4 linked regions of the Drosophila melanogaster genome follow. Changing the gene in region 1 together with any one later gene gives a genetic interaction. Each region holds a gene or a part of one and is shown in the gene's direction. Other genes may lie near its edges. The genes, in order: mtm, Pi3K68D, 14-3-3zeta and Sbf.

Region 1 (7,893 bases):
TTTTTATCCCGATCGAAATGTATCACAAAGTCTATTTGGTAGCCGTAGGGTGTAGTGTGGTTGCAGCGGAAATGCTTGTCATTTTGAAGAAGCTGATGCAGCAGCTGCTTCACCTCTGTTGTGGACTCACTGGGTATTAAGGATTCTAAAAAGATAATATGATAAAGAACGCCTAATACAGAATTGTAGTTATATGTTACTTTTGCTGATCTGCGCCTCGATGTAGTTTTGTTGAAACCAGGGCACATTCGCCTCGGGAAAGTCCAGGCATACTGTGCGATTCAGTTGCATAACCAGGTTAAGGACCCTCTCCGGATACGTTGCTTTTGAGTAGCATACTTGTATCTCATCCTCGATTCGCTGAATGAATTTCACGCAGAATACTTGATTGATTAGCTGCTCTGGTATTGATTTGTAAAAGCACAGTGCTAGACAAGCCTGGACAACCGATAAACCGCTCATCTGGTCAAAATCTCTGATGGAAAGATTACATTTTAGATCTGCCTCAAGAAATGTTTATGCCCACCTTAGCAGTACTTCGGAGGCGTGGTTTAGAGCCTCCACGGACGCTGGCATGTAGCCCAAATTATACGAGCAGGTCAACACTTTCTCCACTGTGTCGCCGGAAACGTGATCATGCTGTTCGGAAATGTAGGCGAACATGGACTCCAGGAGCTCGGGAACAAAGAAATTCGAAGCGTTGAAGTTGTAGGCCATGTCCCGAACCACCCGAGAATTGAGATCGTTGCAGTGCAGATTTTTGTACTGCGCCAGGGCCTGGTTGTAAACCACCGTATTCTTTAGCTCTGTAAAGGGATAAAATTGTTTAAATTTGTTTATATTTCAAATGAACCAAAGTTATCAACTTACTCTTGCGATGACTGAGTGTTCTGACAATCATGCTCAATTCGCTGGCATTTAGAGGGTCCTTTTCGGCATCTCTCAAGTGCCTCTCCGCACAACCGATGAGAATGCTGTCCATTGTGGACAGTTGCATGCCAGCTAATGCCGGAAGATGCTGGCGAAACCTTAGTTCGCTGGCTATTTGCATGCCGCGACTGAGGAGAAAGCAATCCTGAATGCCAAGCTGGGGCGCCATTGCGAGCATTTTGCTTAACAAAAAGTTGGGAAATTTCTTCCAGGCCAACGGAGTCTGCCCGTAAGCTAGCACAAAGGATGCAAGTCGTGCGAACTTCGCTGGCAGCCTTCCCGCTATGTCATGCTCAATAGCATTCATGCACATGCGACTTAGCTTTCGTTCCAGTTCTAAGTGACGGTAGGTTCCTCCCAGATTGTTATTAAAGTTCATATAGCGTTGACAGTGTCTCAGGAACCGTAGGTGCAAATGCTTTTCCGGACAGGACTCCAGCTCTTTTACAACTCCTGACCAGTATGTGTTGCAGAATTCAATGTCGGAGACTTTTAGTGCACGCAGAACGCTGAATAAATGTCCGCTCGCATTGGGTTGCTGCCAGGCCTCTTCGGAGTAGAGCAGTTCCTTAAACTGATGCAGATACTGGTCTCTCTGCAGTGGCGTTGCAAAGGGAACTGCACAAAACAGGGCGTCAGCAGTGCCTTCTTCCTGTAGTAACTTTTCAAGGGCTTTCTTGAGCGGCTCTATCAGTGCGGCGGGTTCTTGATGATGCAAAAATGTGCGACAAATGCTCTTTAGATCTGCAGACTCCATCTGGTGTATGCAAGGTCGCAAGACCAGCATGACCTCCCGAATCAATTGGGTGTGGGTCTGCGACCACACTGGAATATTCAGCATGTGGATCACCTTCAGAAGAGCCTTAGGGGTTTCGCTGCTGAGGACGCCGCTTTGCATCATTTCAGTCAAGCGCAACTTGAAGCGCGTAAACAGCTCCTCATCAATGAGAAAGTGTAGCTGAAAGAGGCACGTGGACAGAAGGCGAACCTGCTCTGCGCTGCGACACCAATTGATGTGATGTTCCAGGTGCGGAATAAAGTTCCTACACACAAGCGGAGTGAAGAAGTCGCGTTCCAAGTTGATGCCCACCGAGAGGCGAGACAAGGAGGTCAAGGGAATGACTTCGTCATCAACTTGTGACTCGATTAATTGAAGAGATCTCGTCAGCACGGCCTCCACGACTGCCTCGGAGTTTGGTATATGCATTTTGCGCAGGTACAGGTAGCATCTACTGAGATCATCGATCTCCAGTTGGTGTACATAAGGGGCCAACTTTGGGAGCACGTTAAGCAGCACGCGATCCGTGATGGCATCTTTACTTGCCTGCTCCGCGTCGTGATAGATGTTCCACAGCAGTGAGATTCCCATCACCACATGGGAGCTCTGCAGGCCGTCACAGCTCTCCAACACATCTAAAATCTGGTTACCCGTCTTGGCCTCCTCCAGTCGGGTTAGAAGAGCATCCTGTTCCCGTGGCACGCCAAACTTGTCTTGGAGATCTCCGTTCACCAGCTGCGAGTGCTTCCTCAGTTTTTGGCCCAATGCCGGCAGCAAGGCAGCTGTTTGGATGGGCGGCTTTGCGCCAATGTTAACGTGCCGTCGCAGGAGCTGAAGCTGACGCACTCGCAGAAGGTATTGTAGGTACTTCCATTGTGTCCGCGGCAGGTGGTTCAGATACATGCCACTTTATCTCACGCTTATTCAGAAATCGTTGAATAATAACAAAATTACGCCGTATAAACATGTGAGTGAATTTTTGGCGATCAGCTGGTGTCGGTGTTGCCATGAAATCCTAATTTCCATTATACTGAAACCAATAATGGAATCAATGTGTAAAAAAAAACTTAAAATAATTTCTGAACTGTGATTAGCGGTATACAAGTTAGATAAGTAATTACTTAATTCGTAAGTAATTTGTTTATTTCGTCAAAAGTTTCATAGTGGCAACTCTAGTTTTCAACAGGTTGTTGACGAGTTGACATTTCTGTTTGTAAGCAACAGCTGATAAGCAGCTGACCCTAAATAATTTAATAGGCTAGAGCGTTATCGTTGTTAAACAACTAAACAATGGCATACACTGATCCTGCGCAACGAAACCAGGTGACCGTGCTCCAGGTCGGCTATTCTCGCCAAGAAGAAGGAGACGAGTCCGCCATGCGGGCTAACTGCACATGCACACTGGTCCGCTGCCGGGATGGCACCAACATAATCGTGGACACACTGACGGCCTGGGATGGAGATCACCTGCGTTCGTTGTTGGGCCAGCAGGGACTAGGCGTCGATGACATCCACGTGGTGGTCTGCTCTCACGGACACTCTGACCACATCGGTTGCAACTATCTGTTTCAGAAGGCACGAATGCATTTGGTCGGCGCATGTGCCTCACATCACGACCTCTACATGGACCACCTTGGTAGTGGTAATCCAGACGAGCAACTGGCCCTAGATTCGAATGCCGAGGTGGTAGTGAGGCGGTCGCCAGGACACACCCTCAGCTGCGTTTCAGTTCTTGTGGAAAATTCCCAGCTGGGTGGACGGGTCGGTATCACCGGAGATCTCTTCGAGCGTCGCGAGGACATCGACGATGAGAACATTTGGATGGACGCTGGAAGCGAAAACGAGAAGGTGCAGCGCGAGGAGCGCAGTAAAATGGCACAACTGTGCGAGTTTATAATCCCAGGACATGGTCCGATGTTTTCTGTCACACAATCAATGCGCTGTAAACTTAAAGAAGACGCCACTTCTAACACTTAATTTATTAAGCATTAAATACATATGTTAGAGATTTTTTTAAAAGCGGAATTGTTCTAGCTTTCCTTGATTACCAGTTAAATGTCTGAAATAAGTTGATTAATTCCAATACATAAAAATCAAATTTTCCGCCACTACATAATGTCCCTTTGGTACTTTTGTCGGAGGAATGGGAAATTATTCCAGATGATTTTATATTGCGTGAGTTGGCAGCACTGCTGCATGAGTTTTGGTGAATTGCATTTAGCTAACAATTGGAAAAGAAAACACAGCTGCAACCAGCAACACAATAGCCAAACACCACTCGTGTCCATCCGAAAATGGATCCCTCCGCGAGCCTGGCCGACAAGTTGGCCTCCAAGACTGCCAGCAGCAACTCTCTGGACAGCAGCTCCAAGTCCAGTTCGCTGGGCTCCAAGCACGGTGGCGGAGAAAACGGCATTCTGCGGGACACGCCCTTCGGCTATCTGGAGGGCGAAGAGGACCAGGACCAGAAGAACGACGTGACCTACGTGTGTCCGTACCGCGGCCCCGTCTTCGGCGCTCTTACCATAACCAACTACCGTCTGTACTTCCGGTCGCTTCCCCTGCGGGATCAGGAGCCGCCCGTCGTCGTCGACGTGCCTCTGGGCGTGATCGCGCGTGTGGAGAAGATTGGAGGTGCCACGTCTCGCGGTGAGAACTCGTACGGCATCGAGATTTTCTGCAAGGACATGCGAAACCTGCGATTCGCCCACAAGCAGCAGAATCATTCGCGGAGGACGGTGTTTGAGAAACTGCAGGCCAACGCCTTTCCGCTCTCGTACAGTGGGCGCCTCTTTGCATTCGCCCACGCCGCGGCCAACTCTGTGAACGGTAACGGAGGCTGGGACGGCTGGGCGGTATATGAACCGCTGGCGGAGCTGCGCCGCTTGGGCGTTCCCAACGATATGTGGCGGGCGACCAAGCTAAACGAGTCCTACGCAATTTGCGACAGCTATCCGGCCGTGTGGGCTGTGCCCAAAGCGGCCTCCGATGATTTCCTGAGGCGCGTGGCACAGTTCCGATCGCGCTGCCGCCTGCCGGTTTTGTCCTGGATGAACCCACGGACTCAAGCGACCATTACAAGGTGTTCCCAGCCGCTGGTGGGTGTAAGTGGCAAGCGAAATTCCGACGATGAAGCATACCTAAGCTTTATCATGGAGGCGAACGCCCAGTCAGACAAGTTGACCATCATGGATGCGCGACCAAGCGCCAATGCGATTGCTAACAAGGCCAAGGGCGGCGGCTACGAGTCAGAGGACGCGTACAAGAACGTGGAAATCAACTTCCTCGACATACACAACATCCACGTGATGCGGGAGAGCCTACGCAAAGTGAAGGAGGCTTGCTTCCCCACCACCGACGACTCAAAGTGGCAGACGGCTATTGACAACACACTGTGGCTAAAGCACATTAGGTGCATCCTGGCCGGCGCCGTTAGGATTGTTGACAAGGTGGAGACCATGAGCACCTCCGTCGTAGTTCACTGCTCCGACGGCTGGGATCGCACAGCCCAGCTGACTGCTCTTTCCATGTTGCTGCTCGATCCGCACTATCGCACAGTGCGCGGTTTCGAGGTTCTCATTGAGAAGGAGTGGCTCTCCTTTGGCCACAAGTTCCAACAACGCATTGGTCACGGCGACAACAAGCACTCGGATGCAGACAGATCTCCGGTGTTCCTGCAATTTATCGATAGCGTCTGGCAGGTTAGCCAGCAGTTCAACAACGCATTTGAGTTCAACGAGCACTTCCTGATAACCATCGTGGATCATCTGTACTCGTGCCGCTTCGGCACCTTCCTCTGCAACACGGAGGCCGAGCGTGTGGCCGAAGGTTAGACTGATTGCTGTTTGCATGGGCTTGGAAGTAATTTTCACATTTATTGTAGATCTCAAGCACAAGACAACATCCCTGTGGACGCACATCAACTCGTCGCTGGACCAGTATTTGAATCCACTCTTTCCCTCGTTCACGCACGGCGCCGAGCTAGTGCTGCGTCCGATTGCCAGCGTGAGATCGGTCCGCTTGTGGAAGGGCCTATACTGTCGCTGGAATCCTGGTCTGTGCGCTCCTCAGCATGGCTGCCAGCGAACCCGCGAACTGCTATCCAAGCAGGACCAGCTCTTTAAGCTCGTCAACGAGCTGCGGCTCAAGTCGAACAACCGCAGCAACAGCATGCAGACAACTACGCGACTGGCCTCGCCTATGCACTAATAGTATTGCTTTTTTATTCCCCCTACTTGTACGCATATGTAGTGCACGTATTGTGAACTACGTTCTAATTCCAAATAAAAGTTTTTCTTAAATGGAAAACTAGTCGATTCAACATTGTATCATTGAACCACATTATCGAATCTAATTAAAGTGTTAAATGTCTGAGAATGTTTTAATTATTTCATGAATAACATCATATAGTTCAAATCGTATAGCGTTTTCGCAGCTCAGTGGAGCTACTTTTATATGTGCCTTAAACTAGTTTGGATGTCAAAAAGATACCTAAACAGGTGACCAACTGTTGCACGCTCCTTGTGATTCATTCATAAACACCGCTTCATAGAGGCGCCTGCGCGTTGGACTACGCACGTTAAATCCCGAATCCCACTTTTGACACCACAGGACACAAAACATTTCGGCTTTGCGCCAAAATTAAATCACAGCTGCCTCAGTACGACATCGCACGTTCATTGGGACAGACGTGTTCCGATTTCCGGTAGGAAAAGGGCAGGTGTTTGTAAAATATCAGGAAATGCGTTCGGAACTCTTAGAGTTCCGCAATAGATATTAGTTATGCCTACTAGGATATGTGTGCTGTTTGGGCTTCTGTGCCTCGCAAGCTTATGCTGCGGTAGTAACAAGCCAGGAGAGGTGCTCCTGGTTATCGCCTGTCCCCCGCATCCTCAGCAGGCCAGAAGTGATTGTTTAGCCTTATCGCACAACGTGCTGGAGCAGCAACGGGCACTGGAACTGGCGGGGATCTTCCCCGAGGACTTTGTCCTGAAGGTCCATGTGATGCATGAGCTCTTTAACTCCTGGACCATGCTGGACGCACTGCCTCATCTAAGAGCCCAGGCACGTGTGCTGGGTGCGCGCACGGAATGGATTATATGGTGTCAACACAACACGCGTGTGTCTTCGTTGCGCGGCCTGCTCGAGCAACTGCGTCGCCAGAACCCAAGGGAGGTGAGTTTGTCACTGGAGGCCACAACTGTGTCCTATATCCTTGTGCCTCCTCCAGCTAGCTTTCTATGGGCACGCCCTTTACGATGCGGAGGCAACCATCATCCACCACTTCTCGAACTACAAGGATCCCCAGCGGTTTCCATATCCCATGCTCAGTGCCGGAGTCGTTTTCACTGGTGCTCTGTTGCGAAGGTAAGTCCTTTTTAAATGGCATATGAAAGTAAGTTATTACAAATGCATTGAGAAAGAAGGGATAAGTTGATTTAAGTATTTGAAATGTGTCTCGACAATTGGTAACTCGAACATTGTTTTACATTCTTGAATGAATCACTTGTTACCAGGTTGGCGGATCTGGTTGCTCCTAGTGGCCAAAACATCACCGTTCACAGCGATTTCTCCATTGATGCCTCTCACGAGCTGGCTCGCTTTATTTTCGACAATGTATCGCCCGACCCGCATATTAGCACCCCGATTTCCGGAGGAATCCTGCTGAAAAGTGCCAGCTACATATGTTCCACACCCACGTCCGTGCCAAACAGGAAACTGCCTTGTCTGCTGCATGCGCAGCCGGAGGAGCCACTGACTTTGGGGCAGCGGAGAAATGGCTGTGTAAGTTTATTTATGCCTGGCATGCCTTGTTGCAGCAAAATCATATATCATGCTAAGGGGCTTTTGATTAAGATGAGGTATTTGCAAAAATGTCAAAATTTCGTTATTTTGCATGAATGTTTTTAAGTTTACCTGTTTGTACTATTCAGTACTATTTTTTGAGACACCTGTGTTTGAGATATGCTTATCTAAAAACGGACAGCAAACCTTTAAATCAAAGTTCATTGAGTGCTTAAAATTTAAAACCCACATACATATAGATAGCAGATTCAAGATTCAGCCCGAGCAATTAGCATTTGAAACCTCCATAACCATAAATTGTCTATCGACCCCGAACTGAAACCCTCCGTTTCCGCAACTGCCGTATTTTGGCCACCCCAAAACCGGACGAGCAGGAGCAC
Region 2 (8,113 bases), on another chromosome or scaffold:
CTCCACGCTTTACAAAATACCAACAATTCCTCGAACACTTGTTTTTTTTTAATATCGTTAAAAAAATTTAATAAAATTATAACAATTTAAATTTATATCAATTAATGGTGTAAAGCTAGTTTGATTTTATTTTTATTCTAAGGTTTCATATCTGTAAGCCTCCATTGGAAATGCTATAAGCTCTCATGCAAAGGAATTAAGTAAAAACCTGAAATTAAACATACTTTTAAAAACTATGTAGTCATTGAAATCCCAAAACATTTTTTTACGCTATCCCTTAGTTAATATTAAAGACTACTTTATCCTGTTCGATTATTTTCGTTGCTGTAGACATTTAAAATTCGTTACTAGGCAACCGTATCGTTTACATATCAATAGTTCTTTTTACTTTTTACCATTGGTTATTATTCACAATGAATTTCAACGACGATCCACTGGCTGAACTGCTCAGCGATAATAGCCTGGATAATGACAACTTCTTTGAGACGCCAGCGGGAGTGGGTCACAAGAAGCCAGCCAAATTGGCGAAGCCCAAGGGAAAACTGGAGGATTTGTTTGGGATTCAGGAGGAGACGGAGGCGGATGTCCAGGGACAGGGAACGGGTGCCAGAAAGACACCCAATGCCATCAGCACGCCGAGAATTGTGAAGCAGAAGCCATCTATCTCACTGGATGATGATCTGGTCGAGGACGATGACTTGGGTTTTGATCCCAAACGACCCAAGAGTGGCGGCACCAAAAGGAGCCTTTTCGATGATCTGTTGACCAGCAACGCGGAGCCCAAGAAAAACATTTTCGATGAGATTCTGGCGGGAGATGCCGTCAAACGTCCGGCCACTAGCAAACCATCCATGTCGCGCCAATCCACGGACACCACCACGGACAACTCGCAGGCGAGGCCCAAGACTTCTACCGGCAGAAGAAGCTCAGCGCAATCGGCCACCATTAATATGAATGCCGATCCGTTGGGCCTTTTTGGCAGGGATACGAATGCTACTGTTTCGGGAATGTCCACTCCCGTTTCGAAAAAACGGGGAACTACCGCGGATTGGTTGGGTCTGGAGCAGGAGCCGGATCAGCGACCGATAACACCGAAAGCGCAGACCGCCAAGGCGCAGCCCTCAAGTGAAAGTCCTTCCAAGAATACAGCCGACATCCTGCGCCTGCCCGACTCCGATGAGAACGGTATGGAGCAGGAGGCGGAAATGGCCGCCGTGCCCGCCCCATCCGTCGTCACTGCCGCCACCCAAAATATCCTCATGCTTAGCAATCTCAACCTGGAGAGTAACCATAAATTCAATGCCCTGCAGCAGCAGGAGGCACAATTGGTGATTGCCGCCCAAATGAAGAGTCAAGAGCGGACTCTATTGGAGATGCAGCGTCGCCAAGAGGATCAGGATCGAAAGTTTCAGGCATTAATCCAACAGCAGCTGCAGCGACAGCAGCAAATGGAGGAGCATATAAAAGGCCAGCAGGAGCGGATCAACATGCACCTCCAGCTGATGATGTCGCAGCCAGTGCGTGTACAGGATGTGGTGTCCACACCGCCGCTCGTGGAGAAACCGGAACCGGAACCGGAAAGGAAGGAGCACCACAAGGCGACCAGTCAGGAACAGGAGCATTTGCTTCTGCTAGAAATGGATGCCAAACGCAATCTGCTGGAGAAACAGCGACTCGATGAGCTGGTGGCCAACATGAAGGTCAACTATGAGCAGGAGATCGAAATGATAGATTCTTCATATAAGTAAGTTTTAACCAGCTGCTGAAATAATAATGCAAATGAGTAAGAGAATTTAATTTTATGTCCAGAAAACAAATCAAGGTGCTGGAGGAGCACTTGTCCGTCGTAGAGAAACGACTCAAGGACGAGAATAGCGAGTTACGGCAGTACTACATCGAAAAACTGGAGAAGCAGAAGGAGGACTATGTGGAGCAGATTTCCAGCCTGCGACAAGATCATGAGGATGAGGTGCGCAAGCTGCGTCAATCCCACGAGCTGGACCTCGAGGGTATTCGTCAGGCTAAAATGGTGGAGTTGTCGGCGGTGCAGGATCATGGAAATTATCTGGACACATTGCGTCTGGCGTCCAGCAATCTTCAAGAACTTCGTGACGGGATGAGTGACAACCAGGAAAGGGAACGGCAGTTGGAGGCGCGAGAACGTCGCCTGGCCGACCAGGAAAGGCGTCTAAAGATGGACGAGGAGACGGCCGACGATGAGAAGCGCCGCCTGATGGAACTGGTGAGCACCTTGGAGCTGCAGCTGGGCCGTTTGTCCAAGGAGTCAGCCGAAGAGAACTGGCAGCTCCGTCAACGAATGTCCAGCTTGGAAGCGGAGCGCAAGGCTTTCGAGCGCGAAAAAGAATTCCATCGCGAGCAAATGCAGCGGGACGAGAAGCGTGTGGAGGATCTTAAAGCACTGCAGCTTGCGGAAATGGAACGACTGCACCACGATCTCCAGGAGGAGCGCAATCAACTGACAGTGGAACGCCAGCAGATTGAACTAAGACAACAGCTCAATGAGCACGGCGACCCAGACAGAGATCGCCGGGAACTGGAGGCCCAACTGCAGGTGGCACGCGAAGCCATTCGGCGGGCGGATGAGGAGCGGGATCGCTACCACAAGCTGCAGCGCGAAATGGAGCAGCGCAAGCGCCATCTTCTGGATAAGGAGCACGCCCTAAATCTCAAGGAGGACGAACTGGGCCAAGCCACCGGCGCCTACCGCCTAGCCACTAGTCGCCAACACTTGGCCGAGCAGAAGGCTAGGGAGGCGGACCAGCTGCTCCAGGCCAAGCTTAAGGTCATGGCCAAGCGGGCCCAGGAAATCGCGGAAAAGGAGGCACAGCTGGCCCACGAACGAATGCTGGTGGCGCAGGATCGTATGGCTTTGGTCAATCTGAAGAAGCAGATTTCTCGCAGCAGGTGTGCAATCTGCAAAATGGGTGCGGAATCGGCGGAAATCGCCCAGCGAAGGGCAAATGTAAATCCCACAGCAGCCACCGATCTTCAACTGCCTCAAGTGACACCCAGTCATGCGGAGCTGCTGCTTAAAATGTCCCAGGAACCGGGACAGGTCCAGAGTGACATTGTGGATCGAATGCTGGACGAAAACATCGAAGCCTCCTACCGCAGGATGTACAATGCGCCCCCCAGTAGTTCAATCGATGATCCCGACTATCTATTGACGTTAGCTGGTGGGCTGGACGACGACTCCAAGGTGGCCATGGATCACGGCCTGAATGTGGACGAAGCATTTATGTAGATATTGTGGAAAAATTTGTGGAAGCACAAATAATAACAACTGAGATAAATAAATGTATTACTTGGCAATTAGTATAAGTTTTATAAACAAACTATGAAGATACAAGATTACATATCGCTCGAAAGTTAAGTATTTTGTTATTCGTTAGAAACTCAATAAATTTGAATTGATGGAGTGAAACCCGGCTACATGATTAGCCAATACTCAAACATCTGTTCGATGTATCTTTCATCGATAGTTGCCAAACAATATCGATTCGTTTACCATCGCTACTGCTTGTTGCATTCCGTTTTGTGTTATTTCGTGCTGTTCGTGTTTAAAGTTCTTGCGCACAAGATAATTGTTTTTTTTTTATTGTAAATTAACTGATTTGTACATAATATGTGATGGTGCAAGAAAATCTAAGAAAATAACGTTTTGTTCAGTATTTTGGTGTTGCGTCTATTCCGTTTTTTGTCACTGTTTTCTGTTCGTGTTTGTGTATGGTCGTTTCGCATGTATGTGTGTAGGTGTTTAGGTGTGTAGGAGGATAAAACAACTCTCCTAAAAACAAAAAAAAAACCTTTGGTTAAGTTTAAATTAATTGTGATTCGTCAAATATAACAACAACCGAGGATAAAAGTGTAAAACTATTAACCGGATGGTCTATGTTCGTAGCCCCGTCAAGGGAAAACCTCAACCAAAAAGAGACTAGCAACGGGTGTAAAAAGCAGCGGAGGTGACACCTCAAAAAGCAAGTAAGTTGGCAATATGCGGATGAGAATCACAAAGCAGAAGTCAAGTCTGCATATTAATGACTATCTCCATTATTATTTTCTTTCGCCCTTCCACCGATATTCGTTTTTTTTAAATTTTATTCTTACGTTCTCCGGAATAAATTGGCATTCAATTGGGTTCATTTATTGTTTATGAATATTGTTTTTAAAAATTTTTTCGCAATCTATTGATTTACCTTAACCTTTGCCGCACGGAACCCTCTCTTTTGCTCTCTCTTCCTCGCTTCCTATTCCTAGCCGGTTCGCATTTTCTTATCTTCCATTCCGTCCCCGTTCGCGACACGGACTCACACACACACTAGTGCTTTTGTGGGTGTGTTTATATTAAACAGCTGTTTCCTATCTGCATACGAGATTGGCTTCAATGGGGAAAAAATCAAAACGCTTACATGCTGACATATATATATACGTTTATATTGCATATATTCGTATATATGTGTAAAATCTGGGAAATCAGTACTCGCAGCATTCATTCACGCAAATTGATGCCGCCGCTTTTGTTTGTTTTTATATATTTATTTACAATCGCGCACTCAATTGCGCCTTTTTGCGCCACTCTGCTGTATCGCAATCGCAAATTTGGAGCGCTTGGATATGGTTTCTATGTGCAAAGTACACAAGTATTTACCACATTTGTATGTACAAACAATAAGATAAAATGTTTTGCTGATGTTTGTACCGAATGTCGAAACTCTGCTAATCATACTTAATATCATGCTTGCATAATGATGTTCGAACTTTTCTATTAGAAGTTGATATTTTTTAAAATATAAAATTAATTCCTGTCCCTGCCCTGGCTATCACAAATCCTTGTAATTACGTTTTAAATGCAGTTGTCATATCCTTTTAACCATTTCGAAGCTTACAAATCTAATAAAGCGATCAATCTGTTCTCCCCTATTTTCTGAATTTCTGAATCATTGGTGCCCGCTAATGACGGCTCATTATCGATCGCGAATATTCCTTTGCAACTTAAAAAAAAAAAACTAGTGATAGGCACCCCCACTCTGTCGCAAGTGGTCTTCCCCCCATCGAATGCTATCTCACCTGTTCTTCGTCCAGGTACTCATATAGTACCATTGCCATTTACACTGCATAATCACTTTTATCACCGCCTGTTCGTTATCGCAGAGATAAGCAATCCCAAAAGCAAACACCTTTGTTCAACAACAAATAGGCATTGGAAGAGAAAATACGAAAATAATTTTAACAAAATTTGGAAATCGCTCACATTTTGTTCTGGTTCCCATTCGCAGCTCAACGGACCGGACGCTTTAGACGAGGGGATAATGTCAAATCAAGCGCATATCGACTACGACAAACAATTCCAGGATGACCTGGCCAAGGCGACCGCCCTGAGTCTAGAGCAGCATGCCCTCGATGACTACAGGCGAAACAAGAAGTACGGCTCCGGGTATCAGCAAAGCTCCACCGTTGCTGGCCGAGATTACCAGGCGGCGCAACGTAGTCAGAGCCTACATCAACCACGACGGCACTCGGAGGTGCATCAGGTGGCCATCAGTCCGGAGAATGCGGAACGATCGCGCACACCGCCGGCCCAGGGAACGGATAACGATCTGATCTGCTTCGCAAGTCCCACCAGCAAGCAGCCAGAGAGTAGCAGTCCCTTTGGCAAACTTATAGAGGATCTGCAGCGGATGCAGCCGACCAATCCGCAGTCGGCCCTGGTGCCAATGGGTCCAGTTGCGTCGGCTTCGATTCCTCCTCAATACGGCTTTCCACCTCATCAGCAACGTCCAACGGCTGCTCAGCCCACACCGTACGGCATGGTTGCAGGTGGAGTTGTTGGTGGACCGGCTTACGGTGACCTGCAGTTGGTGCCTTACCAACCAGCTGCTCAGCAACAGAGGCCACTAAACAGCGAGGAGCTGCAGCGGCTGTACAGCATGCCCGCTCAAATGGCCGTGGTTCCAGTGCCGCAGCCAAACGCCTATATGTACTATCCCGGAGCTGTGGTTACTCCATACACGGCTCCCATTGTTCCCGGATCGGCTGCTTTTATGCCGCCGCAGTATCCCGCACAGGGATATGGCTTTGGAGGTGCTTACACGCACATGGATTTGCGTCGACCCCAATCGCAACCAGCTCCCCAACAAACAGCACCGACAACAAGTCATCATCACAGCCAACCGTCCAACCATTCCACTTCCTCCCCCGCAGAGGCCAATGGAGTAGCCTTCCCAGCGCGTCGCCAAGTGCCCTCGACTGTCGGGGTTAGCTCTAGTAGCCACACTGGAAACAATGGTCATTCCTCGGTCCCACGCAGGGGCAACGATTTGATCGACCTCAACCACGAGGACTAGTATGTATCCACTAGTGTTCAGAAATGATTAGTTCGTGTTTTTAACATTCAAACATCCTGCTTTGCAGCTCCCGTGTGAGTGTGCTGGAGGCATTCGATCCCCTGCTAAACGACAATACTGGTAAGCAGCCTCAATGTTGTAATTAACGTGTAGCTCCCGGTCCTCGTTGAAATCCCCCCACATTTTTCGCACCGTAAACTAAACTTGAAATACAGTCGAAAACTCGTGTGTTGCGATTTTTGGCCAGAGCATTCATTTGAGCTGCAAATAAAAATTATTGGCATAATAACATTAGTGGATTTTTCAACTCAATCTCTAGGAGAGAGGAATATTAAATTGAATAGGAACAAGCACACGATTTTGTATTTGTATGGTATTTACTAATAGGTTTTATTAATTTTATATTTATCCCATTATTTGTTTAGCAACAATTAGTTTGGCTAGATATACGAGATCCTTTTTAGAATTGCCCGTAGCAAGTTGTCGCTCGCCTTTAGTTAAGAATTAAACTGAATGTTTCCGTTTCTCTATATTGCAGTGTCGAAAAAGTAATCCATTTTAATTGTCCTCTACTACTATCAGTACTACTACTACCAAAAATGCAAAAAAGCAACTACTTTACACCCACAACAACTACACCATCTAAAGGGTTTCGGTTCAGATTGGTTCGTTTCGGAGGCAATGACAGATTAGTGTCTATAACAGCACTTACTTAGACCACCTTATTACACAAAAATACTAAAGTAATATATATACATATATGTATGTGCCCTCATATCGAAATTCGTGCCTTCCGCTATTGCCGGAATAATTTTGAAGTCAGCTTATATATCGATGTCCAAAATGTCGTATTCAACTAGTTCGCAATGTTTGGAATTGGTTTCTATGTATATTCCCGCGACTGAAAACTTCAAAATTTAAAAGAATTTAACGACTGTCAATTGAAAAGTGATGAAATGAGAAGAATTAGTCACTTCTTTTTAATAACCATGTATTACGAAATGAACAAATTGTGATTTGCTGCTACATATATCCATTAATACACTTATATACAAAAATAAATACATACATATGTTTAATTCTATCGTGTACCATTGTGAGAGAACAAATAAATAATTTCTTAAACAAATTGCAGTCTGTTGTTGTTTTATTATTCGTTTAGCCGCTTGCTTCCATTTCCCATTAAAAGATTAAATAACGCACATTCACGCTTCTCTAACTAATAATTGACAATAGATTTGAAGCTTTTCGAGCATATGTATGTATTTATTTATTTCATTCTGGCTAGATTGGAAAATCAACTAACTCTTTACTATGATTTGCATTCAAGTCGTTGCACTTTTGTCAAATTACTTGTACGCTTACCCTTTTTGTTTTGCTGGCTTTCAAAGTTCCCGCCAAAGTAGCAATGCATTTCAAACAGATGTATTTACCAAACGCTTTTAAAATAACGACGTGTTTAGCAAATAGCTTTCCCTTTTGTGGCAAATGAAACAGATGTATGGGCACCAGAGGGGACAGATTTAGAATGAATATAAACAAAGCGATTTAAAAATACACACTTAGGTACAGTGATTATACATTGTTAGTACATACGCTCTTCTTTTTAAGAATTTGATATTCATTTTAATATAGGAAACCATTATCATCCGCAAAAACTACATTTTGCGCTTTTTTTTAAACATAAACCCTTTGTACTTTTGATATATACGACCTTATTTTTAAAAAAATTTCGAATGATATTGGTT
Region 3 (8,045 bases), on another chromosome or scaffold:
AGGCACCTTCACCTACACCAACATGACCGAGGGCTTCTCGGTGATTAAGGACGAGCCCGTCAATCAAGCCAGCTCGCCCACCGTTAATCCCATTGACATGGAAGCGCAGGAGAAGATCAAGCTGGAGCGCAAGAGGCAGCGTAACCGTGTGGCTGCATCCAAGTGCCGCAAGCGCAAGTTGGAGCGCATCTCAAAGCTGGAGGATCGCGTGAAGGTACTTAAGGGCGAGAACGTCGACCTGGCTAGCATCGTGAAGAACCTCAAGGACCATGTGGCGCAGCTGAAGCAGCAGGTGATGGAGCACATTGCCGCGGGCTGCACGGTGCCGCCGAACTCGACAGACCAATAACATTTGGAGTTGTCAGCCGGGGAGAATGATGAGGAGGACGTGGCACTGGAGACTGAAACCCCCTCGAATCCTGAAGATCCCGAGCAACCCATGCCTCTGGAATTCTTTTCAAGTGCTAGCACCGGTGCCTTGGAGCTGGAGGGCTCGGCCTCTCAGGATATTTCCCTAACTAACAGCGAACTCCTGGAGGAGGAGAGCGATAACGAACAGCCTCTGGTGCTCTACATCCTCGCGGACGACGCAACCTGAGGCTTTGTGCCTTTCTTTGGTTTTAGCTGCAATATCTGAAATGCTTCTTAAGTGTTTTGTTTACTTAGTTATTAGTATAAGCTAGTGTTAATCAAGTATTATCTGTGTTGAACGTAAGATAATATGTAATGTACTTTTAAAATATACGTATATTTTCTGCACTTGATATATACATAAAAAAATTATTTCTACGCCTTAAACTTATTTATTCATCATCCTCCTCTTCGTCATCATCGTCGTCGTTGTCATCCATGGCCTCGGCCTCGGCCTCCTCTTCCATTGCGCTATCAGCCTGTTCCTCGTCGTTCACATCATCCTCGACATGCAGCTGGAAGCCTTCGCTTTTTGTCCACGAGCACTTCATGGTCAGCCGAAATTTGGCCATGGGCTTGCCCACCAGCTTGAGGATTCTCGCCTGTTCGGGTGTTAGAACTTTGCCCTCCTCACAAACCGTGTAGTCACTGTACAGCGTAACGATTCCCTTCTCCAATTTGGTGGGCAGGCCCAGGGAACGCAGATGCGGTTCCATAGAGTGGGCGAAGTCCTCTAGGGGACCTGCTGGCAGGGTAACCGTTTCCGTGGCCACAAAGCCACTGCGTGCGTATTCCACGGCCCAGTAGTTTTCTGCCCACTCCAGGACTTCCTCCTTGGATTTGTCCGTGAAAAGCAGTCCCACCTGGCCAGTTAATCGCTTGGATAGCTAATAGACATAGCCTGTGATTAGTGTCTGATATATGTTAATCCACTTAAACTTAATTACCTTGTGCAATTCCGGCTCCACTTCCTCGCTCTTCGTGCGACCCAAGCCAATCTGCATAACACGATTCTTGCCAAAGATAAAACGAGAATTCTTTTTCAACTCCTGTCGCAGATCCTTCAGCAAGCTATTCCTCATGTTCTGAACTTGGAAAACGAATATATTTGGGTATTTGCCCACGCAGAACCGAATGTCGTCCACAATGCGCTGTTTCCAAGCCAGACCCTTGCGGTCGGTTTTGGTCAGGGAAACTAAGGGAAGAAGAGTATCGCACGTTATAAGTACAAATCGTATATATTAAAGCCGAAACTCTCACCTTTCTTATCACGTTTGGAGCGCGGCATATCTGTAGCCTTTAAATAGCAACGTTTTCTTAACAGAAACCAAGAATATTTCCCACCGAACGTAAACACGTGCGGCCTTCTAGAGATGGTAAATGTTCCTAACCAACAATCGATAGCTCTATCGTGTATCGGAATTTCGCACCGTGCGGGTTGGAAAATTCCTGCGGGCCAATCCCTACTTCAGCTTTCCTCGTTTTCCAACACATCTGCGCGTAGAGAAGAAGAAGAACCTTCACGTCCGAGCCGTAAGAGGTGAATTAACTAATTAATAAGTGCTTGCTCGTTTAAAACTAAGTTAAAAGTCGTGTGCTGAGAGCCCAAGGATTACGCATATATTCGATATTCGCTTGAAAACCCAGGCGCAGTAAGTAGTTTCACCTAGTGCGTCGTGTGTCGGCTTGCGACCGCCATATTGTCGGCGGATAAAATTTTCCCCGAATAAGTGCGCCCACGCACTTTATCGATTCCGTTGGCCTCCTAATTGGATGCCACCTGCCCCTTGGGCTCTCCGCATTTGATTGCGTGCGGTACTGGCCTTGCGAAAATCCCATTACAATTGGAAATGGACGTAGCAATTTTTCATTACCGCAACCAAATAGGACGCCGATGACGTAATTTTTTCCGTCTTGTTCTTTGTGAGCTGTAGTAAAATGTAGAGATGAGCGCGTGAGCATGTCTTCGCCACGCACGAGTTGAATTGCAATACACTTACACGATTATTTAGAAAATTCCTCGTACACCTAATTACCGTTTTTTTTTTTTAATGACTTGAACATTATGCTTAATGTAATACAAAAACATCATAGAATATTAAATATATTTTCTTATTGTATAATTAACAATAGAAGAAGACTCAAAAGAATATACTCTAATTTTGTCGAATTATCCCATATTGACAGGACTAAGTATAATTAGAACTAGAAATTGATTGTTAAATCCTCGCCTTAACTTCCGGCCCACAATCGTAGGCCCTGCCTCACCTCACGAAAATCATAAGTACGTGGATATCTCGTTTTTATGTGTGAGTGCACCAATTCAATGAAATCCAAATTAGAATTAAGGCAATTTACCGCCACCCCCTTATCAATGGCATACATCTCCCGATTAGTTTCCTCCTTGCGGAGGCCATAAAGTCAAGATAAAAGCGTAATCTGGCAGCGAGATAAGCGCTCGAAAGTTTCAACAGGTTGGAAACGAACTATAAACTATTACTTCATAAAACGATGATAACACAAAGACTTGACAATAAAAGCTGGCTCATTTTAAAGCTCTCTATCTACAAGTTCTGAGACGCCTATTAATTAGTATATTTTATCTGAAAGTTTGGTTTCCAAGTTTTACCTGCACACCTGGCAACATTAATTTATACAGCAGGTTGGCAACCCTGAAACTCTCTCACTTGTCGCACTTTCTCGCTCTCGCCTGAGCCAGCCCCATATGCTCCCTCTCATTCTGCGGCGGCGCATGTGCCCCTGCTAGAGTGTGCGTGGGGAGAGAGCGCAGAAACACAGATACAGCGGCGCGGCGAATGTGTGCAACCTTTGCCGTCCGTCATTCTCATTCGTTCGTTGGTAGTGTTCGTTGTCGTTTCAGTTTCAGTTAATCGAGAATGTAAGTAACATTTTTGCTGGCCCAGAGTGCCTTGTACCTATGTGTGTGCGCCTGCCAGTGTGTGTATGGAATTATAAAACGTAAAATTGCTAAAATATCCGAAGAAAAAACACGTGTAATGCCGCCTATGAGCAATCACTTACATGCATCTATACTTCGTCCCGCAGAAAAATCGAAATACATAAATCAGACATCGATCCGAAGCCAAAAAAAAAAAATCTACGCAAAAGAATAAAGTGTAAATTTGTGCAAAATAAGGAAAAGAAAAGAAAATGAAAGAAAAGAACATTCCCGAGTTGCCCGAGTATTGGTGCATGTATGTGATGCGGTGAGATTCGCTTGTAGCTTCGTATTTCTCATCATCATCAGCAGTTCATCGGTTAAGTTGTAGGCGGCGGACATAGCCGACTTCTATATTTACGCTTATATAGCCAGCTATATGTACACACAGTACGCCAAGATAGATATATATATATATATATCCAAGTTGATACTTGGATGGGGACACGCGGTTAGGTGGGTTTCCTCGCCAAACTCAACACACTTGGCGGCCGCCTGTGGTAGATACATTTCGGCCTCTCTCTGCGGCGTTCTCCGCTCTCTCCCTCCCTCCCACCTCGCTCCTCCTTTCTCCCGATTATTTTTATAATTTTGTAGCGCCGCACTTGGAAACACGATTGGCGGCCCCACCAACACCATCTCACCCATCCGCACCACCATTACCACCACCACCCAGAACGCACCGACACACGCAGAGTCGCACGCACACAGCCCCAATAAAAGTTAGTAACTTTTTCGCCCCATGTAGAGCCGCAGTAGCGGTATCTACAGTGTAGAGGAATTTCTACATCATCGGGGATTGGGTTCTTGCTCGGCTCGGTCTCGGGGGGTTTGGGGGGGGGGGGGGGGTTCTTGAGCTACTGCGCATGCTGTCGGCCGGCGCAGATAAGGTTTAAAGTACCAAGTATCCATCCGACACGGATTTCGCAGGATTTTCTAGCCCCGAAATTAGCCTGACCATATGGGTGTTAAACCGTCCTCTAAGGTCTACGTATCTATAACTTCGAGATACCCACCTCCCACCTGTTTTTCCCCCTATTTACCAATTTATTCATTCAGGCAGATGAGCAATCTGCGTGGTTGAAACAAGTTTTTCCTCCTTTGATTTATCCGATAAAAACTACAAACATATTTGTGACCATTTAGGGGAGTGTTACGTTAATTTACGTTACGCCTGGCTTAATGTTTTGGCATTTACCGAGCACAGGCAGAAAACATGCCAATTGACCTAAAAACGCGTCGGGAGACCGCACCGCACCCTCCCCCTTCCATATTTTTGCTACGCCACGCCCCGCCGCCCTTTTTGTTTTGACAAAGGGTCAATGCTTTTTCAATTTGGCGGTCGGTCGCAACACAAATAATAGCTGTTTTCATATGGTTTAAACTTCAATTGGTTGGTTTTTAGGCAACTGCGCAGAAATCAGCATTTATAATTGCTTCTGCCAATGTTACTGGGTCTTTGAAACTAGTTGTTAGCTTCAGTAAAGAACATTTGTATGGGGTTTCAAACATTTTGGAGACTATTTTTCACCTAACCATTTCAATGTAGCAACTATTCAGCGGTCGCTGCTAGCCAAGCTGGACTGTAAATCCAATTGAACGCGGTATTTGTGGGATTGTTGCTGGTGCTTTTATGATGCCGATGTGTTGAGATTTTCCATTTCAATCATCGGCTGGCTGCATTAGCTGGCATTCTTGCTTGGTTTTCGAGGTTTCCGTTGCGCGGGCAAACAAAACAATTTTTTTTTTTTTTGTCCAGAGCCGCCAGTTGTCTAAAAATACCAGCAACGCCCATACATATGCATTTCCACAGACCGATTTTCACCCCTCGTCCTACGCAGTTCTTGTTTCCAAGCTTTCTCCAGGTCGAGCGGAAATTAATCGATTTTCCTTTCCCACGTCCCTTTGAAAATTCAAGCCGGAAATTGGTCCTACATTGAAAGTTTGGATGATCCTATCGCAAGGAATTATAATTGGATTACGTGTGAGCGGATTAATGATTGTCGCCTGCTTTCCCGTGTTTTTATTTGGATTTTTTTTTTCTGTTTGTTTTCTAATAATTACTGCACGTTTAATCGATAGAAGTTCAGCGAGTGGGCAAGTAATTGAGTGCGTCACTGTGCGGAGAACACAAACAGACGGTCTCTATGCACGTACATAAATATCTATCTTTGGCACACACACAAAAATATATAAAAACGCATTAAGGCGGGCCGACTTGTGCTCCATTTCTCCCTCTCTCTTTTTATTCATGGTTTATTTTTATCGCTGTTGTCGAACTTGTATTTTTTCACATCTATCTGCCAGATACTCTCTTTCCACCTTCGGCCTTCCACAAACCCATAAACTGGGCTTCGAATAGTTGCATAGTTGCCACACGTGCGGCCATGTCCAGTGCCACATTGTTTTTGTCGCTGGCTTTTTCCCATTTAAATTAGCCATTCCGTCAGCGATTAGTCAATAAAGACCTGCTGCGAATGCATGAGTCATCGCAGCTTTGAATCCAACACTTTCGTCCAGCGGAAGCATGACAACAAACTAAATTCGTACGACCTTCCTAGGAATACTCGCGCAAGTGCATTGCGGGTATATTGGACTTGTCTGAGTGACTCAGATAATATTATTAGTCACTCAAGTTCTTTAATTTATAAGGAAAAATCATTTTATAACTTTGTAGTCAAGCAAAACATCTTTTAAATTACTTTTAGAGCTAACGAATATAAAATATAGAATCGCGGCCTTCAATTAATTTAAAAGCATAAGCATCTATCGAACCAAAAACATGGAATATCTTATAATGTCTATTATCCCCTATAAGGGGTGATCGTATATGGCAGTTGAGTTCACTCCACAGAACATACAGTGCCACACAAAAATTCGCAGTGTTGTGCAACTGCTGGTTGCTGTGGAATTTTAGCTAAATATAACAGACAAGTAATCCGCAACAGAACTCTGTTAGTCAGTCAGGTGTTTGTTAAGAGCTCACAGCCGAGAACCGTTAGGCGAGAACGAGATAACGGGTTAAAGTGGCCTCACCTACATTTCTCCTCCACTGAAAAACACACTAATGCTCCTGTTTACGTTCTAATTTATTGCAGAAAGCCATTGTTAGCAACTTTTGAGGGGCATATCGAACTGTGTGGCGTATTTTATTAGTTTTGTGAAGTAACCGAAAAAAAAATCAAACAAAATGTCGACAGTCGATAAGGAAGAGCTGGTCCAGAAGGCTAAACTGGCCGAGCAGTCAGAACGGTAAGTGGTTCATCTTATAATAAAGTTCATCAACCTCACAGAACTTCAAAAGAACCCTACAAACTCATTTGGCAAAAGTTATAGTTGCACATAATATTTATTAATACGTAAAAAAGACATTCTTGGAAGTTATAAGAACTCTAAGATTTAACATTGTTTTCTGTTTTATTAAATCCATTTAAAATCATCTTCTAATGAACAATATATGTATCATTTAAGTTGTTCTTCAAAATTTAAAGAATGCATATATTTCTGTGATCTACATGACTAAATATTTTCAATCACTAATGGAACATTTTCTATGCAGTTACGATGATATGGCCCAGGCCATGAAGTCCGTCACAGAGACTGGCGTTGAGCTCTCAAATGAGGAAAGAAATCTGCTCTCCGTTGCCTACAAAAATGTGGTCGGTGCCCGCAGGTGAGTCAATCAATCACAGATTGATTAATGTCGCACTATAGATTGGAGTTCAAGTGCTAAGCTGTATGTTTCTGCCCCTTCTCCGGGTGTGTTTAACATGTCCAAACCAGGTCATCGTGGCGTGTCATCTCCTCCATTGAGCAGAAAACCGAAGCATCCGCTAGAAAACAGCAGCTCGCCCGTGAGTACAGAGAGCGTGTGGAGAAGGAGCTGAGGGAAATCTGCTACGAAGTTTTGGTAAGTGGTGGTCCGCAAGTCTGCGCAAGTCTCTTTCTGAAGGATTTATGGGGTTGTAATTGGTCCATCTAATTATTTTCATGCCCACAACTCACTTGGTTGTTCATCTGCATTGACGGTGATGAAGATGGCAAACCTGTCAACCGCCTAAATATATATATATATATATATATGTATAAAGACCTCCGCCCTTGGCAAGCTCAGCTGTCCGAGGGTGTTGGTTGGATGGTTCAGTGGGTTTTCCAGAGGGTGGGCCTGTTTTCTGGTCTTCCTTCTTGCTCTAGTGAAATATAAAAATTTGTTACAATCAATAAATCTATTTTTAAAATGAACATGTTCCATTTTCCCCCACACACAGAGGTTTTCGCTTGTGTGTATATGAAATTTATATTGCCGTTCACGGATCAGAAAATGACCATGGCCAGGGTTGAACTCGGGGGTTTCCCCATTCGCTTTTCTTTGATTGGGGCTTTTATATTGGATTAAACTTAACTGGTGCTTGATGGATTTTAAAATGGAAAATGATTTAGAACAAGGTTTACAATAAGCCTGGCGGCTTACTTGGTTAATTGTTGCGTTTGGTTTTCGAAATTGATATGAAATTAATTGGAGTACTTGTTTCCTTTGCTTACAGGGACTTCTGGACAAATACCTTATTCCAAAAGCCAGCAATCCCGAGAGCAAGGTGTTTTACCTGAAGATGAAGGGTGATTACTACAGGTATTTAGCCGAGGTTGCCACAGGAGATGCACGCAACAGTAAGTA
Region 4 (7,689 bases), on another chromosome or scaffold:
CCGTGGCGGCGCTGCTCCAACCGTCGATATACGACAGTATTATATTGATTAAGAAGCTGCCCTACCTGCCGGATCTGCTGCCCTCCAGTTCCGGGATGTACAGCATATTCGTCGAGGACTTTATGGTGCGGGATGTAAAGTACATATGGCACGGCATCTCGTATCAGAAGCTCAAAGAAGTCCTCAAGCTGAACAAGACGCTGAGATCCTTGCCACTGGTGGACAGCCCGGACAACATGATCCTGCTGGGTTCCGTGCAGCGGTACGAGCTGATCAAAATGATCGAGAAGCACATTGGACGCGAGAAGCGAATGGAGGTGGCCCAGAAGTGGCAGAAGGAGGCTCAGGAAAGAGCCCTCGAGGAGGAGAAGAAGAAACAGGAAGTGGAGCTCAAGATGCGGCGACCATCTCGATTCGAGGTCCTTCCAGCTCCGGATATTCTCAGTTTACGCCAGATTGCCAACGACGAAATGCTGCCGCCCAAGAAAAGGGCGGAGACAATGCACGGTTCGCTGGCGCCCAGGAAGTCCATTTTGAAGAAGACCAACTCCTTCAACCTGAAGACCTACGCGCAGCCCATGGGGCACAGTCCCAGCATCACGCCCTACACCACGATCACCGGCAATTCCGAGTTCCGCATTCGCTCAGCCTTCGAGGCCATATTTAAGAAGTCCACCACGCTCCAGGACGTACAGCCGGATCCGGAAACGGGTTCCCTCTCCCCGGCGGCAAGCAACCACGAGGTGGAGGTGCCGCGAACTCCTAGCACTCCCGGTGTTTCCAAAAAGGTTCAGCTGGTAGGTGCATATTTTCTATTTACCGCATAAAAATTGGGTTTTGGGTTATCTAAGTTGCTGAGTAAACCGGAAGAGGAAATCTCTCTTTTCAAGCCTGCACAAAGTAATTGGGATTTTGTAACAGATCAAATTATGCTGGTAAGTTACTCACTAACAACATTCATATCATATCATTTCATTCATTTTCTCGGAATATGTGTGTTTAACTTACTTTAATATCTGCAAGCAAGTAAACCCTATTTCAACGGAATCAAATAAAATGGTAAGCCTTAAAACGAAGTAAAATTATAAAATAAGGGTAGTATCCACGCATGAAGTAGTACTATGGGCCTTTTTGAAGTAGAAGAAATACTTAATAATTTCAGTGGAAGATTGAAGTAGAGTATTGCCAGTTTAAAATATCTATCTATACATAATTTTGTAATCTCAAGATTAATGTTTAAAAAGCCTGCCGAGAAAGATTTCACGGATAAAGCATTATCAAATAATGGAGATAGTTCAAAGCAATCACCGAGCATTAAATTCAAAGCAAATAAAGTGGCAGATGTAAATAGATCTCCTCAGACGGCCAAGAGGTGCTCGAAAATAAGGTTTGCTAACGAAGTTGGAGTAAATGGTTCGCCCACTCGAACGAAATGTAAAATAAAACCAGAAAATGTATTGGGTTACTCTATAGAGGATGTGGATGAAACAACAAATCCAGAATCGCTGGCTGAGGTATGTAAAACTGATGCAAACTTTTGATTAATATCTATTGTCAACGAGCTTACAACGCATTATGAATCATTAACTCTCAAAGTTAACATACACATTTTCTCTCCTATCTTGTAAATCCCAAATAAGAGCATTCAAAAGCCGAAGTCGGTGCGATTGGTACGTTTAGAATATTTTAATTACATAACCCCTTATTTCAATCAAGATATAATATCTACCGATTTGATTGATTTACAGCCCAGGGAACGTGTTATTGACATGTCACCGGAGGATCAGAAGCAATGGGAGCTCGAGGAAATGTTGAAGCCCATCGATTTGCAGAAGGCCAATGTCCACATCGATCCCTCGCCATTTCAGCTGGTGGAACGCACCTCCATACTCAAGGTTCACTCGTTGTTTTCCATGGTGGGTATTAACCACGCCTATGTCACCAAAATCGGAAGACTTGTTGGTGTCGTGGGACTCAAAGAAGTAAGTCTTGTTTGATATCCTTGATGATTATAACAATAACACATGTTTTATTAAACAGTTGCGAAAAGCCATCGAGGACATTAATAGCAATAGTTTCGTGCCCCCCACACGGGATGAGGATGCGGATGAGAAGCCGGCGGTGGAGAAACCTCTGCTGTCGACGAACTCTAGTGATAAGGCCGTGGACATGACCGTCACCTCCATGGACTCGGCACTATCCAATTCCGAGAACTGTTCGGACATTGAAATGGAGCACATAAAGCACACGGATAAGGGCACTGTATCGCTCACCATGCCGCCACAGGAATCTAAGCAAAGTCCATCGGCGGACAAAAGTAACACAGAAAACGGAAATCATGCTTGAAACAAGATGATCGGCCATCATAATAGTTAATACGATACGTATACGTAATATGTTTGTAAAGATCAGCTAAACACATCTATCTTAAGTTACGTCTTACACGAGTTAGTCATCAATGTTATTATGTATTTATATCTCGTTAGTTCATAATGTGAAAAATATCGTGATTTATATTTAAGTTGAAAAGAAAATCAAGTCACCAACGAAGGCTGCGTTTGATTTTTATTTATATACTGGGGAGTATTAATGTAGTATACAAGTTTCCTATTTTTCCAACAGATTAATTATATTATAATTTCCCCAAAATTGTTTAATGAATATTTAAGGCTAAGTGGAAATTAATTTTGCCATTTTCCAATTGATCTTTTAAGTTCGCGCCGATTAATTTGTAGCGCAGTCCGAAACTATCGATACATTCAAAGCGCCAATCAAATATCGACACATTCAATCAGCTGATGCAGAAAGTGTTGGATAATTCGTGAAAATTATTGTGTATTGCATCTATCTTTTTCTATGCGAACTTAAAAATAATTATTATAGCCCCGAATTCTTTGAGATTTGCTGGCAGTTAGCGGGGATTTCGGCTGCAGCCGGCTGCGAGGTGTGTGCGCGGATATATATATATAGATTGGCCAGTCCGATTCCCGGCGAACGATCCCACTTTGCGTGGCGGGGTGTGGTTAAAGAAAAAAGAGTGAAGACCAAGACTCGTAAAGCCTGAAAAACGCCTCCGGGCGCTATAGACAATACAATAACAATTCGGCCCCTCGATCTCCGTGGAGCTAATCATTTATGCCGAGCGCAGAGACGGAGCCTAATTAGCATATCAAATTGGATGACGGCACTGGCGAATAGAATCCATCTGCCGCTGTCCCCTGCTACAAGAACGCAACAGAACAAAAACAAAAAAAAAATCAAAATAAAACATCTTCAACTCTTTGTTCTCCTAGATTTGGCTAGTAAAGAGCCGTAGGATCCTAGACGACTGGCCGGCTATGTGGTGGGCAAGATGTCCCGGCTCGCTGATTACTTCGTAATAGTCGGCTACGACAGTGATAAGGAGAGTGAGTACATCCACATGCCCATCAGCCATAATTAGCAATTCTCTGACATTCAACAATTTCCCTTTTCCCAGAAACTGCCAGCAATGTGGGCGGCCAGCCGACGTGCGGCAAGATCGTTCAGCGCTTTCCCGAGAAAGATTGGCCGGACACTCCGTTTATCGAGGGCATTGAATGGGTGGGTGCGCTTGAAACATTCCTCACTTAATTCGAAGCATATCTGAATTTTAACTTATCATTCCGACAGTTCTGCCAGCCGCTCGGCTGGAGTTTATCGTACGAGAAGCAGGAGCCCAAGTTCTTCGTCTCTGTGCTGACGGACATCGATGCCAACAAGCACTACTGCGCCTGCCTCAGCTTTCATGAGACGGTGGCCATCACACAGACGCGCAGCGTCGACGACGAGGATGAGACCATCGGCAGCAGCAGGCTGCTGGGAGCCACACCCTCATCGATGGATGGCATCACAACGACATCCACGCCGGCTTCCATTACGCACCACAGCGTCATGTATGCACCAAAGTGTCTGGTGCTTATATCGCGTTTGGACTGTGCCGAGACCTTTAAAGTGAGTTTAAAAGTCAGACCACCTAAGATACTAAATTAAGCCATTATCTTAATTTACAGAATTGTCTCGGCACCATATACACGGTGTACATTGAGAACCTGGCGTATGGATTGGAGACACTCATAGGAAACATTCTGGGCTGCATCCAAGTTCCTCCAGCGGGTGGACCGCAGGTGCGCTTCTCTATAGGAGCAGGAGACAAGCAGTCGCTCCAGCCTCCGCAGAGCTCCTCCCTGCCCACGACTGGAAGTGGAGTCCACTTCCTCTTCAAGCAGCTGGGCATCAAGAATGTGCTGATACTGCTTTGCTCCGTGATGACAGAGAACAAGATACTGTTTCTTTCTAAGTGTTATTGGCACCTGACGGACAGCTGCAGAGCTTTGGTGGCATTGATGTATCCCTTTCGGTATACTCATGTTTATATACCAATTCTGCCGGCTCCACTCACGGAAGTGTTATCCACACCTACGCCATTTATTATGGGCATACATAGCTCACTGCAAACTGAGATTACGGATTTACTGGATGTTATTGTGGTGGATTTGGATGGCGGCCTCGTTACCATTCCCGAGTCGCTGACGCCGCCTGTTCCTATTCTTCCATCACCGCTGTGGGAACAGACCCAGGACCTGCTCAGCATGATCCTGTTTCCAAACCTGGCGCAGGCCGATCTGGCGTTTCCCACATTAGAGCGGCCTTCAGCTATTGCTAAGACTGACGCCCAGATTGATAAGGAACTTCGCGCCATATTCATGCGCCTTTTCGCTCAGCTGCTGCAGGGATATCGCTCCTGCCTGACTATCATTCGGATCCACCCAAAGCCGGTGATCACCTTCCATAAGGCAGGATTTCTCGGCGCCCGCGATCTGATAGAGAGCGAATTCCTGTTTAGGGTGCTGGACAGCATGTTTTTCACGACGTTTGTCAACGAACGAGGCCCTCCCTGGCGATCCTCCGATGCCTGGGATGAGCTCTACAGCTCAATGAACGAACTGCTCAAATCGGAGGCGCAGAATCGAAATCTCGTAGGTAGAACTCAAAGATTCAAGGGATATTTTAATTTTACCTTTCCTTCCTACTTTCAGATACTCACACATATCCAGGAATTGGGACGAGTTCTATATGAAAATGAGGGCACTCTGGCTCACATCAGCTATGCCCAAAAAGTACTGCGTCCGCCGGAAGGCGCATTCCAGCGTATTCATCAACCAGCCTTTCCGCGCATAAGTTCGGAAAAGGTTGAGCTTATCATACAGGAAGGGATACGAAAGAACGGAGTGCCACAACGCTTTCATGTAACACGTAATCAGCACCGTATCATTCCGATGGGACCCAGGTTACCCGAGGCATTAGATGTGCGTCCCAATGTCCAAAACTCGGCTAGGCGACTGGAGGTGCTGCGGATCTGTGTGTCATACATCTTTGAGAATCGAATTACAGATGCCAGAAAACTGCTGCCGGCTGTGATGCGCACCCTAATGCATCGGGATGCGCGCTTGATCTTGTGCCGCGAGTTCTTTGGATATGTGCACGGCAACAAGGCAGTTCTGGACCATCAACAGTTTGAATTAGTTGTGCGATTCATGAACAAGGCGCTGCAAAAATCATCCGGCATTGATGAGTACACAGTGGCTGCGGCTCTGCTGCCCATGTCCACAATCTTCTGCCGTAAGCTCTCGACTGGAGTAGTGCAATTTGCGTACACAGAGATACAGGATCACGCCATCTGGAAAAACCTGCAATTTTGGGAGTCTACTTTCTTTCAGGATGTCCAAGGTCAAATAAAGGCGTTGTATCTGCTTCACCGACGTCAGAACGAGCATCAAAAGGAGGCCAACTGTGTGCTGGACGAAGTTCCTCTAGAGGAGCCCACGGCGCTTGAAATTACAGCCGAGCAGCTGCGCAAAAGTCCCAACATCGAGGAGGAGAAAAAAGCCGAGCTGGCCAAATCGGAGGAGTCAACTTTGTACAGCCAGGCAATTCACTTTGCGAACCGTATGGTTTCCCTGCTAATTCCACTGGATGTCAATGTGGATGCAGCCAGTAAGCCGAAACCGGCGTTTCGTCTAGAGGAAAATCAGAGTGTTTCCAATAGGTAATACGAGATAAGTTTCTAACTTTGATTTTATATTTATATATGATTTCAATTATTAAATTACAGTATTATGGGCTCACACAGCCTAAGCGAACATTCCGACGAAGGATTCGAGGAGAACAATGCTTTGGAAATAGGTGTCACGGTTGGGAAAACCATTTCACGCTTCATTGACTGCGTTTGTACCGAAGGTGGAGTGACCTCCGAGCATATACGCAATTTGCATGACATGGTACCGGGAGTTGTGCATATGCACATCGAGTCCCTGGAACCGGTATATCTGGAGGCTAAGCGTCATCCGCACGTGCAGAAGCCCAAAATTCAAACGCCATGCCTGCTGCCAGGGGAGGACCTGGTGACAGACCACCTGCGTTGCTTCCTTATGCCGGATGGACGCGAAGATGAAACCCAGTGCCTGATACCCGCCGAGGGAGCTCTTTTCCTCACCAACTACCGTGTGATTTTTAAGGGTTCACCTTGCGATCCCCTCTTCTGTGAGCAGGTGATTGTTCGCACTTTTCCGATTGCCTCCCTGCTAAAGGAGAAAAAGATATCGGTGCTGTACCTGGCTCATCTGGATCAAACGCTGACAGAAGGACTGCAGCTGCGTTCCAGTAGCTTTCAACTGATCAAGGTCGCTTTTGATCCTGAAGTAACTCCCGAGCAGATTGAGAGCTTTAGAAAGATATTGAGCAAAGCGCGGCATCCGTTTGATGAGTTTGAGTACTTCGCGTTTCAATCATACGGCACCATGCTCCAGGGAGTGGCTCCGTTGAAAACCAAGGAGAAATATTCCACCTTAAAGGGCTTTGCCAAAAAAACACTGCTCCGCGGGGCCAAAAAGGCTGGATTCAAGCAGAAGCAGCAGACCAAGCGCAAACTAGTTTCTGATTATGATTACGGAAGTGCAGATGCGCAGGAAACACAGTCCATCGACGATGAACTGGAAGATGGAGATGAGTTTGAAACCCAAAACAATGCCATGCCCAGATTGCTAACAACAAAGGATGTCGAACGGATGCGAGAAAGGAGCTATGTGCAGGACTGGAAGCGACTCGGGTTCGATGCGGAATCACAGCGTGGTTTCCGTATAAGCAATGCCAATACCAGTTACGCCACCTGCCGCTCCTATCCGGCTATAATTGTGGCCCCTGTGCAGTGCAGTGACGCGGCAATAATGCATTTGGGTCGGTGCTTTAAGGGCCAGCGCATTCCACTGCCCACATGGCGGCATGCGAACGGAGCGCTGCTCATTCGAGGTGGTCAACCCAATAGCAAATCGGTCATTGGAATGCTTAAAAACACGACGGGGAGCACCACGAACGCCCATCACGATGTCACGCATTATCCCGAGCAGGATAAATACTTCCTAGCTCTGATCAACACGATGCCTAAGCTAACGCCCCTGGCTCTCAATCAGTATTCGGGCATGAATCTCTCGATGAGTTCGTTGATGGGCCACAGCTCCTCCGACGATCGACAGCCTCTTACCCCGGAATTGTCGCGCAAACATAAGAACAACCTGGATATTAGTGATGGTAACAAGTCCAGTCAAGGAGGTAAAGGCGGAACGATGAAGGGAAATCCTAAAAACTCATTGGCACATCCCTTCCGCAAAATGC

What was found.
Region 2: of mtm (region 1) and Pi3K68D, changing one suppresses a phenotype caused by changing the other (phenotypic suppression), as found in Drosophila melanogaster (3 studies listed by BioGRID).
Region 3: of mtm (region 1) and 14-3-3zeta, changing one suppresses a phenotype caused by changing the other (phenotypic suppression), as found in Drosophila melanogaster (one study listed by BioGRID).
Region 4: of mtm (region 1) and Sbf, changing one suppresses a phenotype caused by changing the other (phenotypic suppression), as found in Drosophila melanogaster (one study listed by BioGRID).

Annotation. Positions count from the first base shown.
Region 1 is NT_033779.5:6,032,921-6,040,813, reverse strand, and holds mtm (myotubularin), read left to right. Parts: upstream 1-3,798; 5' UTR 3,799-4,002; coding exon 4,003-5,536; intron 5,537-5,591; coding exon 5,592-5,917; 3' UTR 5,918-6,083; downstream 6,084-7,893. Other genes in the region: CG31643 (uncharacterized protein), read right to left, coding at 1-145, 201-475, 527-806, 871-2,611; CG9117 (uncharacterized protein), read left to right, coding at 2,999-3,685; CG9109 (uncharacterized protein), read left to right, coding at 6,491-6,883, 6,939-7,075, 7,225-7,492, 7,888-7,893.
Region 2 is NT_037436.4:11,785,430-11,793,542, reverse strand, and holds the start of Pi3K68D (phosphatidylinositol 3-kinase 68D), read left to right. Parts: upstream 1-3,529; 5' UTR 3,530-3,621; exon of another isoform or gene 3,622-3,922; 5' UTR 3,923-4,002; intron 4,003-5,297; 5' UTR 5,298-5,330; coding exon 5,331-6,364; intron 6,365-6,432; coding exon 6,433-6,485; intron 6,486-6,903; coding exon of another isoform or gene 6,904-6,917; exon of another isoform or gene 6,918-7,491; intron 7,492-8,113. Other genes in the region: twy (twitchy), read left to right, coding at 414-1,744, 1,810-3,265.
Region 3 is NT_033778.4:10,097,788-10,105,832, forward strand, and holds the start of 14-3-3zeta (14-3-3zeta), read left to right. Parts: upstream 1-1,889; 5' UTR 1,890-1,951; exon of another isoform or gene 1,952-2,063; intron 2,064-3,248; exon of another isoform or gene 3,249-3,390; intron 3,391-5,334; exon of another isoform or gene 5,335-5,354; intron 5,355-6,327; exon of another isoform or gene 6,328-6,396; intron 6,397-6,468; 5' UTR 6,469-6,560; coding exon 6,561-6,622; intron 6,623-6,929; coding exon 6,930-7,043; intron 7,044-7,153; coding exon 7,154-7,280; intron 7,281-7,914; coding exon 7,915-8,038; intron 8,039-8,045. Other genes in the region: Jra (Jun-related antigen), read left to right, coding at 1-349; RpLP0-like (ribosomal protein LP0-like), read right to left, coding at 804-1,298, 1,359-1,606, 1,672-1,699. UniProt on the Drosophila melanogaster protein: Required in Raf-dependent cell proliferation and photoreceptor differentiation during eye development. Acts upstream of Raf and downstream of Ras, and is essential for viability.
Region 4 is NT_033777.3:11,792,099-11,799,787, reverse strand, and holds the start of Sbf (SET domain binding factor), read left to right. Parts: upstream 1-2,839; 5' UTR 2,840-2,944; intron 2,945-3,293; 5' UTR 3,294-3,352; coding exon 3,353-3,407; intron 3,408-3,478; coding exon 3,479-3,582; intron 3,583-3,651; coding exon 3,652-3,972; intron 3,973-4,031; coding exon 4,032-6,067; intron 6,068-6,133; coding exon 6,134-7,689. Other genes in the region: ClC-a (chloride channel-a), read left to right, coding at 1-797, 891-935, 1,024-1,059, 1,245-1,514, 1,641-1,670, 1,749-1,982, 2,041-2,346.